Linked DNA regions of Tamandua tetradactyla. The protein of the gene in region 1 interacts with the protein of each later gene in a pairwise test. Links are inferred from orthologs where the notes say so. Each region holds a gene or a part of one and is shown on either strand. Other genes may lie near its edges.

Region 1 (7,535 bases):
ACTTATAATTAAAAATGACTATAACAAATAATGTACACCCCCTCCCAGTACATCTCAAACTCGACTAAATTTTAAATATGCAATCCTCACAAAGCAGCGTGGACTGGCAGTACTGGAGGTCAGCCAGTCATATTCAGAAATCTCTCCTCCCTTTTTGGTAGCTTTCATTTCATCTACCCCCAAGGTAGTGCCTTCTTCTAGTTCCATTTAACCACACACTCACGACTTTTTTTTTTAAGGGATTTTTTAAAACTCTTTTATTGTATAGTATAACATATACACAAAGCAAAGAAATAAAAAGCAATAGTTTTCAAGACACTCTTCAAAAAGTGATTACAGGACAGATCCCAGAGTTTGTCATGGGCTACCACACAATCCTCTCATGTTTTTCCTTCTAGCTGCTCCAGAATATAGAAAGCTAGAGGGCTTAAATACTTTTTTATCATCACAATCAGCTTTTTTTTCTTCTTCTTTTTTTTTTGTGAACAATAACATATATACAAAAAAGCTATAAATTTCAAAGCACAGCACCACAATTAGTTGTAGAACATATTTCAGAGTTTGACATGGGTTACAGTTTCACAATTTCAGATTTTTACTTCCAGCTCCTTCAAAATACTGCAGACCAAAAGAGATAGCAATTTAATGATTCAGCAATCATATTCATTTGTTAAATCCTATCTTCTCTGTATAAATCCACCATCACCTTTCATCTTTCCATCCCTCTCTTTAGGGTTGTTTGGGCTATGGCCATTCTAAATTTTTGATATTGGAAGGGGCTGTCGCTAACATGGGGTAGGGAGATGGAACTATCTGATGTTCTGGAGAGGCTGGACTAGGTTTCAGGACTTATCCGGATGGGGACTCATCTGGAGGTTGTAGGTTTCTGGAAAATTACTCTAGTGCCTGGAACCCTTGTGGAATCTTATATATTGCCCCAGGTGTTCTTTAAGATTGACTGGAATGGTCCTGGTTGGGGGTTGGCAGGTTATGACAGGTAGCAAGGTCTACCTGAAGCTTGTGTAAGAGCAACCTCCAGAGTAGCTGCTCAACTCTATTTGAACTCTCTCTGCCACTGATACTTTATTAATTACACTTCTTCCCCCTTTTGGTCAGGATGGAATTGTTGATCCCATGGTGCCAGGTCTGGATTCATCCCTGGGAGTCATCTCCCATGCTGCCAGGGAGACGTTCACCCCTGGATGTCGTGTCCCACTTAGGGGGAGGGCACTGATTTCACTTGCAGAGTTGGGCTTAGAGAGACTGAGGCCACATCTGAGCAGCAACAGAGGTCCTCCAGAAGGAACTCTTAGGCATCCTATAGGTAATCTAAGCTTCTCCGCTACCTACAAAAGCTTCACAAGAGTGAGCCTCATTTAATTCTCTTCTGTTGTCTTTTTATTTCTTTTTCTAAATCGATGCAAATGTTCTAAGAAATGATGAATATGCAACTATGTGATGATATTAAGAATTACTGATTGTATATATAGAATGGAATGATATCTTAATGTTTTGTTTGTTAATTTTTTTAATTAATAAAAAAAGTTAAAAAAGAAAAAAAGAGTGAGCCTCATGATCAGGGGCATGGCCTATTGATCTGGGTGTCCCTAATGTTTGACACAGTATCAGGGGATTCCCTGATGGTAAGGTTTAATAGTTCCATAGTCTTTCTCCTCTCCCTCAGGGAACTTTCCCAATACTTTCTGATCATCTGCTCAATTTACTGTAAGATGTTTCCAGGCATTACAATAATCTATACAGAATTAAAGGACCTCTTCCTTATTATGTGCTTTCTATGTTTCAAATGTTCACATGAGCTATACAGATAGGTTGAATTAGATTATGCACTACCAAAAAGTTTAGTTCCAGATCAAATAAATCTTTCTTCCATTGGTCTCAAAGAGCATGTGTTGTTCTAAAATATAAACACTGTCTTCCTTACCCCCGTGTTCTGAATTACTTTAACCCCAACCTTTTCAGCATTGTTCTTTTTTATAAATATCAGGTTATGTATATAAAATAGCCTCTTGAAATTCAGAAATAACAATCACCACTCTGGACTTAATGTGTCTGCTCTAAAAGCTTGCAGTCTAGGTCCCTGTTTTCTTACAGGCATTTTCTTAAGGTGACCATTCCATTGTTGTTCTTTTGTTTCTGGTTTACTTTGTCTCACCAAACGTCCCACATGTTCATTCACATCACTGCATGCCTCACGACGTTGTTTCTTTTTGTAGCAGCACAGCCTTCATTCATAAGTATATATCATAGTTTGCCAACCTACTTCTCCGTCAGTGCATCCTTCAGCCACCTGCATTCATCGGGCATCATGTAGAGGGTTCAGAGTCCACAGTTCATCCACATTCTCAAATTTAGATAATTTCATTGTTCCCAAGAGAAAGAAAACCAATAAATACACCCTCACCAAATAGGAAATCTAAACCTCCTCTTAACTCTTGTCCCCTTCCCCCATTATTTACCTCTGCTGATGCTGTGGTAGTGCTGATGGTTTCCTTTTGAACATAGCTCATAGCATGCAAGAGCAGTTTTCCCCCATACCCTGGACTTAAATACGCTTTGTACAAGAATCATATCTTTGAAGTAATTGTTACGAGAACTGATTCATATTTCCAGTGTGAGTCAGTGGGACACGTAGGTCTATACAACCCCTTTCAATCTTGTTCATCTTCAATATGGTAATATCACTTCTAGACCCCCTTGAGAACCACCTTCCATCCTATCTATTCCCTTTCTTTGGAGCTTTTATTTTTGTGCTTTGTTATGTCTATCATCTCCCTGAGTTCCCATTCATTTTTTTCCATCTTTTTTGCTATTTGCTGTTTTGAGTCTTCGAAGTCAGTTATCCTGTCCTCTACATCCCTTACCCTTTCTTCCATCTCTTCACATCTGGTGTTGCATGCCTCTGCTGTTTTTTATTTGGTCAACAGAGTCTTTAATCCCTGCTATTTTTCTGTTTATTCTTTCAAATTCCTCTTTATGCTCTTCTACCATCTTCTTGAGCTCCTTTATGTCATTTGCTGTCCCACTTATTTTATTTATTAGGGAGAGTTGTGTGAGCATCCTTGGTTAGTTGTTGCAGCCTCTGCATCTCCTCTGGTGTTTCACTTTGGTCATCAGATGGGGCTGCATCTGTCTGCACTGTGATATGCTTGGTGGTCTTTGGCTGTCCCCGTTGCATGTAGATGTCTTGACTGATATACTCTGGGGGTTGATTTTTCAGGAGTCTAAGGCCCTGTGTGTGCAGGACAGCTGCACAGCAGGGAGCAGGGCGCAGGTGGCGCCCTCAGTGCAGGGATCTGTTTCAGGGAAGGTGTGGGAGCAGGCTGGGGACGTTACACCAATGCCTGTGAACACGGCGCCCAGCACCCAGGAAGGATGGAGCTGGGCGGGTGCCCGGGTCTGGGGGCATAACCCTGGTGGGCGCGGGTCCCCTTGTGCGCATGCGGAGAGCTGCAGCCGCAGGTCAGGCCTTCATGGATTGGGGGCAGCTGTGACCCGCTGGACAGGTCGGCCCTTTCTCAAGAGTTGTGTGAGGCGGAGTGCCGTGCGCATGCGCGGTTCTAGGCCTGTGTACCGTGTGTCTCCCAGAAATGAGTGACGTGATGCGGGCTGTGCGCATGTGCAATTGTAGGACCCGCGTAGAGTGCGGTTCCCGGAGCTGTGACGTGAAGCGGCCCGTGCGCATGCGCGGGTCTGGGAGCGCCGCGAACGGCCGCGCCAAGCTCAGGGTGGGTGAATGAGGCTGGAACTCTGTGGGGGGTGGGGGGTGGGGGGGGGGGGGCCTAGGTGGGGGTCAGAGCCCAGCCTTTATGCGCTGGCGTCAGCCTGCAGCGCACAAGGAGGGGAGGGAGGGGAGGCAGGGTCGGAGGGTGCAGGAGAGACTGGCTGGGCTGCGCTGGGGGTGGTGGGGTGGAGGCGCCTGGAGCACGGGGAATGGGGGCGGGTGAGGGGGTGCGGGTGCGTGGGGGGTGGGGGGTGGTCCCGGGTCTGTGCCGGTGAGGGTGGCGCCCAGGGAACGCGGCCCGGCCGACCTCCTGGTCCTGGCTCCCGTGCGGCCCCTCCCGCGGCTCCGTGCCGGCCCGGCCTCCTGCCCCCCAGCCCCCCGGCCTCCTGCCCCCCAGCCCCCCGGCCTCCTACCCCCCAGCCCCCCGGCCTCCTGCCCCCCCAGCCCCCCGGCCTCCTGCCCTCCAGCCCCCTGGCCTCCTGCCCCCCAGCCCCCCGGCCTCCTGCCCCCCCAGCCCCCCGTCCTCCTGCCCCCCAGCCCCCCGGCTTCCTGCCCCCCCAAGCCCCCCGGCCTCCTGCCCTCCAGCCCCCCGGCCTCCTGCCCCCCAGCCCCCCGGCCTCCTGCCCCCCCAAGCCCCCCGGCCTCCTGCCCTCCAGCCCCCCGGCCTCCTGCCCCCCCAGCCCCTCGGCCTCCTGCCCCCCCAGCCCCTCGGCCTCCGCAGCCAGGGCTGCCGCCCCAGGGCAGCCGCCCTCTGGAATTGCCACCTCAGTCATCCTTCTGTCCCTTCTCGACCTTTTCCCTGGAGCAGGGCTGACCTTGAGCCACTCTAGTGGGCCATGCTCCCATTTATTCACCTATCATTTTACTTCTCTAGCGTGGCTCCCTGACATGGAACGTGGTGTCCTGTTTTGTTTTCCCGCACACACGCGTGTGAACGAACGGGTTCTCTCCCTACAGCGGCTCGTCAGGAGGCATCCTCAGTTCCGGGACTGTGCAGGGATGCATCCATGCTGTCTTCTGGGGCCCTCCTGGGCGGCAGGAGGTAGAGACTGGATCTTAGAAAGGAGGGCTGCCCGGCACCCAGCTTTCCCCCATTGCCCGGAGACTGGGGCCGCTTGGCCAGGGTGGTGGTACTTGAGCTGAGGCGCAGGGGGCCTGGCCATGGGCTCAGGTTGGGGCAGAGCAGCCTGTGCAAAGGCCCTGAAGTGGGGTGGCTTCTCCCATGCGGGGGTGCTCAGGAAAGCCGGTATTGCTGGGCAGGGGAACAAGGGGAGTGAGCAGGCTGCCGAGGGCTGCAGAGCTCACGGCAGGAACCCCAAAGCTTGGGTACTACATGTCCATGGGTGGGGGTATGTGTGGATGGGGGGGGTGCATGGTAGGGGTGGGTGGATGATGGCTGGCTGAGTGGAAGAGTGGGTGGATGTGTGAATAGGGGGGAGGGCGGATTATTGGATGGACAGATGGGTGGATGGGTGGGGGGTGAGTTGGGTGGACCAAGGAGCCAGGGAGTGACAAGGTGGGGTTTGTTCCTCAACCCCAGTACCCCCTAACTCCTCCTCTGCTGGCCCCCCAGAGAGGCCCGTCCAGAACTCCCAGCGGGGGCAGCTTCGGCACTGTCTGTCACAGCCCCCTCCCCAGTCGAGCCTCCCCCGAGGGCTGCCCAGGGCCTGTGCCCCCTACTTGGTGGCACCCCTGTTCCACAGCCAGGGTCTCCTGTGGCATAGGGACCCCCAGGAGCTGGGCGCCCCTTGGAGGAAGGCGTGGGGGCACAGTGAGGGCGCCTACCTGTCTCAGGGGCCATCCCTGGCTCAGCTCTGGGAGCCCCCCAGGAAGACGGGGTGGCCCACTGCTCCCCAAGCCCTGCACATTGGCTCGTACCCCACCCCGTTCCTCCCCCTCTAGGCCTGGTGCCTGGTTTGGGGTCACGTGCCCAATTGCCCAGGCCCCCTGAGAAAGACCAGGGCCCCCACACCCCTGAACAGGGTTTGAGAGGACCTACAGCTCCTCCTCTCCCCAGCTTGCTCCTTACCAGTGGAGGGCACCTCCAGAATGATAGGGACACCCCAAGAGCTCGGCCCAGGCTGGAAATGGAAGCTGGGGGATCCCCAGGTCATGAGGACGGGCTGGCCTTCCCCTTTCTGGCCTCCCTCCCCTTGGTCCCCTTTTCTTTAGGGTTTTGCTATAACACAGAATTGAAGAGCTCTGGGGAGCAGGGACCTCAGTTCCTGGAATTCTGCCAGCCTAGGTTCTGGGTTCCTCAAGATTTAGCAGGGATGCACAGGCCCCAGGCTGAGCCCACCCACGCAGTACCCTGCACTCCTTCTCTGGTGGTGGGCCCTCTGCTCCTGCCCCACCCCCAGCCTCGTTTTCCCCCCCAGGCCCAGGCCTGGCTGAAGCTCCCAGTCAAGTTTAGCAGGGGACCCTGCATCTCCCGTCGCCAAGCCATGGTCCTGGGCCTGAGCAGGGGTCTGTCAGCTGCCGGGAACCTCCTGGCGGAGCGCAAAGCAGTAGGATTTGAACCCAGGCCCTCCCCCCGGGCGTTTCCCCACACGTACGGCGCCTGAGGACTTCCTCCTCCCCCTTCCCTCGGGGCCCCTCCCTGGCGCTGGGGGCCTGTGATTTCCCTGGAAGCAGCTGTTTCCGTCCCACGCCAGGCTTGGAATTTCAGAGATAAAGGAGCAGGGCCCAGGGCCTCCGAGGGGAGGAAGGGCGGGGGGTGGAGGCCCGGGGGTGGGAGCCAGAGCTCAGGGCCCAGCGGAAGGACGATGTACCTTGCATGGAGCGTCTGAGCCAGCCCAGCTTTCACAGCCTCTGCAAAAAACCCAGGTTGGCGCCAAATCACACGCAGCAGCCAGAGACTCACCTCCAAGTGCCAACTCAGATCATGCCCCTGCCCTGCTCAGACGCCTCCTGTGGCTCCCCAGTTCTCTGAGCACACACCCCTCGCTGGGTCCAGCTCCCAGAGCCCCTCACCCTTGACTCTCCCTGCTCCGGCTGCTCGGGCCTCCTCGGTGCCTTTCCCTGGGACCCACCCCGTCCCCAGCCACCCTCGTTTTTCCCTGCCCCCCCTCCCCCATCCCCTGTCCTTTCCTTCACAGAATGCCCCCAGAAGTCTTTGCATCGCTCCCGTGTTCATTTGCTGTCGCCTGGGACAGGGTAGTAAACACGAGTACAATGAACCAACAGGCCCCTTTTTTACAGAGGAAGAAACAGAGGCTCAGGGAGGCCCCCTGTGCATTCGTGGGGAAGGGCCAGTGGGAATCCTTGAGTCTGAGCCCAGATGGCAGCAGCTCTGCCTCCAGCCAGGTAAAAGCTCCCTGCTCCTCCAGGGAAACAAGACTCCAGAGGCCGCGGGAGCAGGGGGCCGTGGCCTCCCACACCCGGTTCCAGGCCCAGCGTTGCCTCTGGCTGACCTTTACCTGGGGGAAGCTGCCTTCCAGACCCATGTGCGGTGGTGAGCAAAGGCTCTGAGGCCAGGCCGGGTGGTTCGGCTGATCCCGAGGGGCCACGGAAGGTGCCGGAGCCGATGACAGGGGCTCCTGGGGGGGGTGCCGGGGGGGCGGTGAATCCTCCCTTCCACAGACCGAGGGAGCAGGCGGCAGCGGCTGAGTCACCCAGGCCCAGCTCCCTCCCGGGAGAACAGTTGGTGCCCCGTGGCCTGTGTGGGCCCCACCCGTTGGGAACCCAGCCCCCGCGCCCCTCCGTGCCTCCCTCCCCACCCCTGGCTGTCTCTTCCCCAGCTGCTCCCTTCAGGCCGCAGAAGGTAAGTGGGAGAGGCGAGGGCAGGCTGCTC
Region 2 (7,423 bases), on another chromosome or scaffold:
TCATGAGCTTTGAAGGAAACAAAGGGTAAAATTGTGTCGCTTCTGGGTGGAATTCGGAGATTCATTATACACTCTGGAGAATGGAGGCTTGTTCATCATTTTTCTCCCTATTCTTAACTCAGCACATAAAAGCGACTATATAAATGTATGGTGAATTGAAAAGAATTTGCAATAGAAAATGTAACACTTTTCTGAGGAAAAATAATTACTATCTAAACTCTGCTAGGTCTTTAAGGGGGGTAGTTTTGTATACAAACAGAGAGAATAAGTGATTATAATGTATTTCACCCTTTAAAAGTCTAACAAAGATCTACATAAAAGGCTTTTAGAGAGCTTTAGTCATATTGGCACATTAGGGAAATGTTTCTTTTTAAAGAATGGGGATCTGGCTTAGAGGTGGATAACAAAGATAGGGAGATACTGTCCATTTGCATGGGAAAGCACAAATTGTAACGTTCTCCAGGGTGGGACTTTGGGCTTAACAATAAGCATTCTTAAGAATGACCTGTACATTGTAATGTACAGCCTAGTGAATTTTCTAAATTATTCTTCTAGTTCATCAGGAGACTAGGCATATTGGCTAAAAAGTGATAAATGATCCTATTGTGCGCAAGTGTGAAATATTGAGGAAAAAAACATAAATTTTACTTGTAAGGTGATGATCTCAGTTATTACTGTGGACTGCTTTCTGAAATTATGAACCAAGTTTGCTAGTGTAACAAAATGACAATAACAGGCTGGGTATCATAAAGTAGGTGTTTTAGAAATAACTTGGAAACATCACCTAGAACTTGAACAAAACTGGCAGGTGTGCACATACCAGAAATACTGGGTGTCCGTCTTAATATGATACTAGATATTAGAAGATAGATTATATTCTCATGTAGAATATTAGAACTCAAAAGCAATCTCAAAGATTGACAGTAGTTGGCAGAAAATCAGAAGTATCTACTGCATCTTGTTTGTAGTACAAAATGGAAGGCTGTCTCTCTCTAAGCGAACTCGGCAGGTGAACTCACTGCCCTCCCATTACTTGAGACATAACTGCCAGGGGTGTAAATCTCCCTGACAAGATGGGACAGAACTCCTGGGATGAGCTAAGATCCAGCATCAAGGGATTGAGAAAGCCTTCTTGACTAAAAGTGGGGAGAGAGAAATAAAATAAAGTTTCAGTGGCTGAGAAATTTCAAACAGAAGTGAGAGGTTAGTTTATAGTGTATTGGAGTGGCTAGAAAATGAAAGTATTGAGCTGTGTCCAGTAGCCTTTATTTTTTTATTTTTTATTAATTAAAATAAAAAAAATATGACAATAAAAAAACACATTCTTAACATATGATCATTCCATTCTACATATATAATCAGTAATTCACAATATCATCACATAGTTGCATATTCATCATCATGATCATTTCCTAGAACATTTACATCAATTTAGAAAAAGAAATAAGACAACAGAAAAAAAATTCATACATACCATTACCCCTCCCTTTCATTGATCACTAGCATTTCAATCTAAGTTTATTTTAACATTTGTTCCCCCTATTATTTTTTTTTATTCCATGTTTTACTTGTCTGTTGATAAGGTGGATAAAAGGGGCATCAGATACAAGGTTTTCACAATCACACAGTTACATTGTGAAAGCTTTATCATTATGCAATCATCTTCAGGAAACATGGCTACTGGAACACAGCTCTACATTTTCAGACAATTCCCTCCAGCCTCTCCATTACATCTTGACTAACAAGGTGATATCTACTTAATGCATAAGAATAACCTCCAGGATAACCTCTCAACTCTGTTTGGAATCTCTCAGCCATTGACACTATTTGTTTCATTTCGCTCTTGCCGCTTTGGGTCCAGAAGGTTCTCTCAATCCCTTGATGCCGAGTCTGAGCTCATTCTAGCTTTTTCTTAACTCCTTGATGCTGAGTCTCAGCTCATTCTAGGATTTCTGTCCCACTTTGCCAGGAAGGTCCACACCCCTGGGAGTCGTGTCCCATGCAGACAGGGGAGGGCAGTGAGTTTGCTTGTCATGTTGGCTGGAGAGAGAGGCCACATCTGAGCAACAAAAGAGGTGCTTTTGGGGGTGACTGTTCGACCTAATTTTATGTAGACTTGACCTATCCTTTGTGGGGTTAAGTTTCATATGAACAAACCCCACGATTGGGGGCTCAGCCTATAGCTTTGGTTGTCCACACTGCTTGTGAGAATATCAAGAATTCAGCTTGGGGAAGTTGAATTTTCCCCCTTTCTCACCATTCCCCGAAGGGGACTTTGCAAATAAAATGCATTGCAGAGTGTTCAAATCACTCTGGGTTTTATCAGGGCATCTAGTAGGCTTGATTTTTGAATACGACTGTATACGACAACTTTTACAATGTGACTGTGCAATTGTGAAAGTGTCTGATGCTCCTTTTATCCAGGTTATGGAAAGATGAGTAAAAAAATATGGATAAAATAAATAGAAGGGATAAGGGGTAAAATAAATTGTATAGTTGGAAATACTAGTGGTCAATGAGCGGGGGGGGGGGCGGGTAAGGGGTATGGTATGAGCTTTTTTTTTTTTTTGGAGTGATGCGAATGTTATAAAAAATGATCATGGTGATGAATATACAACTGTGTGATAGTATTATAAGACACTGATTGTACACCATGTATGGAATGTGTGTGTGAAGATTTGTCAATAAAAATAAAAAAAAACAAGAACAAAACCCAGAAGGCTGAAAATAGGGGTTTAGTTTTAGGCACGTCGTAGGTAATTTATATTTGTGAAGCCCATATAATCCTGATTTCCTCATCTTTTGAACCCAATAGTTAATGTAACACCTACACCATTCCCTTTTCTCATTCCTGTTGTTCGATATTTATGGGCATCCACACGAGATTTTTCACCTGAGCTCATGAAAACGTTCGGTGGACTTTCAATGTTTATTTAGCCCTGTCTTACCACTAGTCTCCCCAGCAGGGGTACTTTTGGGCACTCCCACTTTCTGGGTACCACTGGGTTACGGTGGGGGTATGCACTAAAATCCCTGAGTTCAAAGTCTCTCAAAGTTCAGTAGCAAAAGAGGGAGAGGACACACAATCCTTTCCTCTAATATTCTTTGCTGGGTACCAAAGTAGTAACTGTACCCCACTGTCTTGGAAATTTTGGTAGAAACAATTCTTTTCGGTTCTCACAGCTCCAGTGGAAAACTCAATGGTAGAACCCATCAGTCTGTCCGCAGAATTTCTCCTGTCTTTTCATGGGTGAGGTTTTGCTTCAGGGTCAAGCTTCTGGTGCCAGGCTACCTTTCTCCCTAGGGAGAAGCTCCTGAGAGGAGTCACTATCCCTTAAGGAGTAGTCTTGCGCAGGACTGGGCTCCATCTGGGCTACCGTAGGCTTTAGGGGGAACCATTCATTTAATCTTTTCAAAAAAGTTTAGGTATCGTGACAAACTCCGGGGCGACACACAGGACGTGACTTACGTGGTACTTCTAATGGAAAGGTTTTAAATGATTTTTTTTAGATGAACGATTGCGAGACACGCAAGGAAACCTCCAGTTTTGCAGAAACCTTAAAGCTCTATAGAGTGGCGAAATGCCAGTGGAATAAACGCTATGAGTATAGTGGATAGTGAGTAAAAACTTGAAGAAATGATGCCAAGAGGAATTAGTACTAGAATTTCAGGTATTCTAACTAAATCTAAACACTCCATTCATTAGACCAAGGGATGAGGTTCCGTAGGATCCCAATGCCAGCTCCGATACATCGTTCGTTTGGAGAACATTTTGAATTTTTCTCTTCTCCCTTTCCGGCTTTCCCCGACACAGGCTGTGACTTTGTCCACGACCCCTACCAACATTTAAAGGGGAAGACTCTGAAAACAAGGCAAAGTAAGGGGGACTTTGCGTCTGTATTTCTCAAACCCGTCAAGGGAGAGCAGTAAAGGATAAGGGGCGTGCAGTCTACTTCTGCCTCGCCCAATCAGGTGCACAGGAAGATGCCCTTTCACCAATAAAAATAAAGTTCGCTTTCCGGAGGCGGGAGGGCAAGCCTTGACTGCCAGTTTTTCTAAGCAACGATGGAGGAGAGGACAGAGAATGATTAGCGGTAGGACCAACCCGGTAAAGGGGGAGAGGGAGGGGTGGGGATAATTCTGAGCGGCATCTAGACTGGCCAGTCGAGGACAAGGGTTGCTGTTCCTGGTGTAGTCATTCCCGCCAATCAGGAAGGCGAGGGGTGGGCGGGGCGGAGAAGAGGTGGGAAGATCTCGCTGCACCGCCGGGCGGCCGTCGGGTTCTGGGAGAGAGGGAGAGAGAGAGAGAGGGAGAGAGAGAGAGGGAGAGGGAGAGGGAGAGAGAAAGAGAGAGGGAGAAATCCGGTTAAAATCTGAGTCCGAGGGAGGTTTAACCACAGATCGGTTCCGATCGGATTATTCCTTAAAGGGGACGCGCCATTGTCAAGAGATCGGAGCCTAGGCGGCCCAAGGGCGGGGACCGGCGGCGCCTGAGGAGCGAGGCAGCTGCACTTGGACTGGGGACCGGTAGGTGTTGCCTGGGGAAAGGCGCTTCATTTCACTTTCTCTTCCAGCCCTGGGGCAGGCGCTGGGATGCTCGCCGGCCGGCGTCCGCAGCCCCTGCAGGAGTCGAGGTCGCCGGCCCTCGGGCGGCTGCCCTTCTTGTGGAAGCTGAGAGGGAGGCGGGCTAGGGTGGCTGGCGGGCCATGCTGCCTGGGGCCGAGACTCAGAACGGATACGGGTCGGCGGCGCACCCCCGCCTCAACCGATAACCCACCGGAGCGACGGCGGGTTCGCAGGCAGCGCAGCGCGCCCCTCGCGCGCTTCCTTTCCCTCGCGCGCCCCCTTCCCCTGGCGCGCCCGCCTCTCCTCGCGCACCCGGTTCCCCTCCCGCGCCGGCCGCCTCCAGCTCGGCGCTCTCTTTGCTCTCTCCGCCTTCTCGCGGATTCGCGGGAACCGCCTCTCCTGGAAGCAGGCGGCGGCGGAGAGACGGAGGGAGGTTGGGGGCCACAGCTTCTGTGCCGGGACCCTGAGAGGAGGGTTGAAGAGCAAATTTAGCGCGGTGGCCAGTAGCCCAGGCTGGAAGGGGCGGTGGGGGCCGGTGGAGCGCGCGGAGTCGCCGGTTCGGCTTTGTCCCCCCTTTCCTTTGCTCTGGTCTCCGCCCACTGTTCGCGGCCGTAGGGAGGGGTGCAGGCGAGGTCGCTGTATCCGCGTCGCTTCGGGCCCGGCCGCGCACCCCCGGACCTTATCAAGCCAGGATTGGTCAAGACGGACACCCAAGCCACAGCTGCCGGCCTGACCGGCCTGTCTTGGCTGCTCTCATCTCAGCACCCGCGCAGGCTGCCTGGACGCTGAGCTCCTGCAACTTTTCTCTGTCTTTTGATGGAAGTTGTTGCTTCCGGGCAGCAGGTTTTTGGGGTTATAGTTTCGTGTCCTTCATTTCTGGAGGGACTCATTTTAGGGCGAAATGGTTTGTGATTGCTGTCAATCTACTCTACCATCTCAGTTTTCGTTACTAGCCCCTTAAAATCGCACCTTTTGTGGATTTGCCATTATATGGAATCATTAACCTCTCCCAAACCAAGCTAATGTGAAAAGAAAAAAAGGGGAGGTATTTGTGGGGGACCAGAGTTCTAGGTAGGGCCGTATTTGCCTTACTTAACCTTTGAACTGTGAAAATATTACCTGGTTTCACTAGCGGAGGTTCTTTTTGAAGGCGAGGATTAAAAGAAACAGGTTGCTACGCTCAGTAGGATTAGGAAAAAAAGACTTGATGGAAAAAAAATTTGGCTTTGTAAAATGATGTTCTGCTAGCAGATATCTCCTATAAAGTTAATTTCTGCTGCTGAATTCCTAGGCATTATAATTCGTAATTGCAGCTTTTACTATTGATAAAACAAGTATGAGGTTTTTCATCTTGGACATTATACTGTACCATACCTGTCAGTACTTGCTATAGAAATATTTAGAATAGCACATCACTTGGTTAGAGACCTTATTTAGAAAAGGAATGTTTTTGTAATCATTCACTTTTGACAGTTTCTTCTTGTGCAATACTTTGTACAGTACTTACATATACAAGATACAGCCTTGCAAACGAAGTAGCAATGGGTATGTTATTCTGCAGTCTTTTGTTTGCTACTCATTATCAAAAGCAGCATTCCACTTTGTCCTTTCCTTCTCTGTGAGTTATTTTGTATGATTACTTCTCTAGAAGAATGGATTTTGTTGGAACACCTGGCCAGTGTTTTCAAATAAGTTTTTTTAAAGCAATACTAACAACTTCATAAAGTGTTCATTGATTAACTCACTGTCTAGTAACTTTCAGAGTGGTATGGCACATTCTCATAATTTAAGTTGTTAGGCTCATCAGTAATGACAAAGATGAAACTAAGGAAACTGATAACTAATTTCAGATACATGTTTGAAATATATTTTAGCTTCACAGAATTCAAGAAATGCAGATACACAAAAACATGACCTTTTGTAGTAATCTTCATAGTATCTTGCATTGTTACACCTGATATTCCTTTTCTTAAATTCTTTTTTTGTGATAAGGATGTTGGGTGAGTTCCCAAGCACAATCTTCCTGTCCAACTCATTATACAAAGTAGAAGTTGAAAACAAGTTTACAACTTTTTATCTTTGCTTGCTAATTTACCAGCTTATTTAAATAACAGAGGAGAGAATTACTAAACCTTTACAACAGTACATATGATAGTGTTACAGAAAACATTCAGGGAGAATTATCTGTGAAATATCTAGACTATGTTTCCTGGATGACATTTTATTCTGTGTGCTTTTCACATTGTTTTGTACACTTTTTTTTTTTTTAAAAATGTGTACATTGTCAAGACATTTCTTGAGTTGTGAACTGTCTATTTCTCTCCTGATTCACTTGTCACTGAGTACCTTTCTCATACCCAATAAATGTGTTGTTTCAGGTTTTACATTTGTGTTATAAAAAGGTAGTCTTCTACAAAAGCTCCTTGTTCAGAGAGGTATTTATTCTCTTAAATATCTCTCTGAACAAGTTACACGAAAGAATAGCAATTAGTTCACTGTCTGGGAGGAGATATATTAATCTAGATGCTCTTTGTTCTGTGTACAAATTTGTGATTTAACTGTTTATTGTATCTCTTCCACAAAAATCTTTTGTGATGGTGATTGCTTATTGTGACAGTTTTATTAGAACTAAGTTTAATCTGTCAACAAAATCTTTTGAGTACCCATTTATTTAAGGAATATTGTGGGAAGATAAAGTAGAAGTGGATGGCAGTCATTGCTCTCAGACTGGTACAGTTTAACAGGAAGATGCAAAATTGTTATCTAGAGGAAAAAGACCATGCATGTGCCCTTAAAAACTATTAACTATAAAGAAGTTTAAATTTATGTGTTAAAGGAAGAAATAAAATGTTTTTTT

What was found.
Region 2: the proteins of HOMER3 (region 1) and FRYL interact in binary tests that used the Homo sapiens proteins (3 or more experiments, as listed by UniProt). The two-hybrid records come from large-scale screens. The link is inferred for Tamandua tetradactyla from reciprocal best matches to the Homo sapiens genes HOMER3 and FRYL.

What each region holds. Positions count from the first base shown.
Region 1 is NC_135337.1:95,885,153-95,892,687, forward strand, and holds the start of HOMER3 (homer protein homolog 3), read left to right. Parts: upstream 1-4,483; 5' UTR 4,484-7,196; exon of another isoform or gene 7,197-7,535. UniProt on the Homo sapiens protein: Postsynaptic density scaffolding protein. Binds and cross-links cytoplasmic regions of GRM1, GRM5, ITPR1, DNM3, RYR1, RYR2, SHANK1 and SHANK3.
Region 2 is NC_135345.1:51,599,183-51,606,605, reverse strand, and holds the start of FRYL (protein furry homolog-like), read left to right. Parts: upstream 1-4,258; 5' UTR 4,259-4,527; intron 4,528-7,423. UniProt on the Homo sapiens protein: Plays a key role in maintaining the integrity of polarized cell extensions during morphogenesis, regulates the actin cytoskeleton and plays a key role in patterning sensory neuron dendritic fields by promoting avoidance between homologous dendrites as well as by limiting dendritic branching.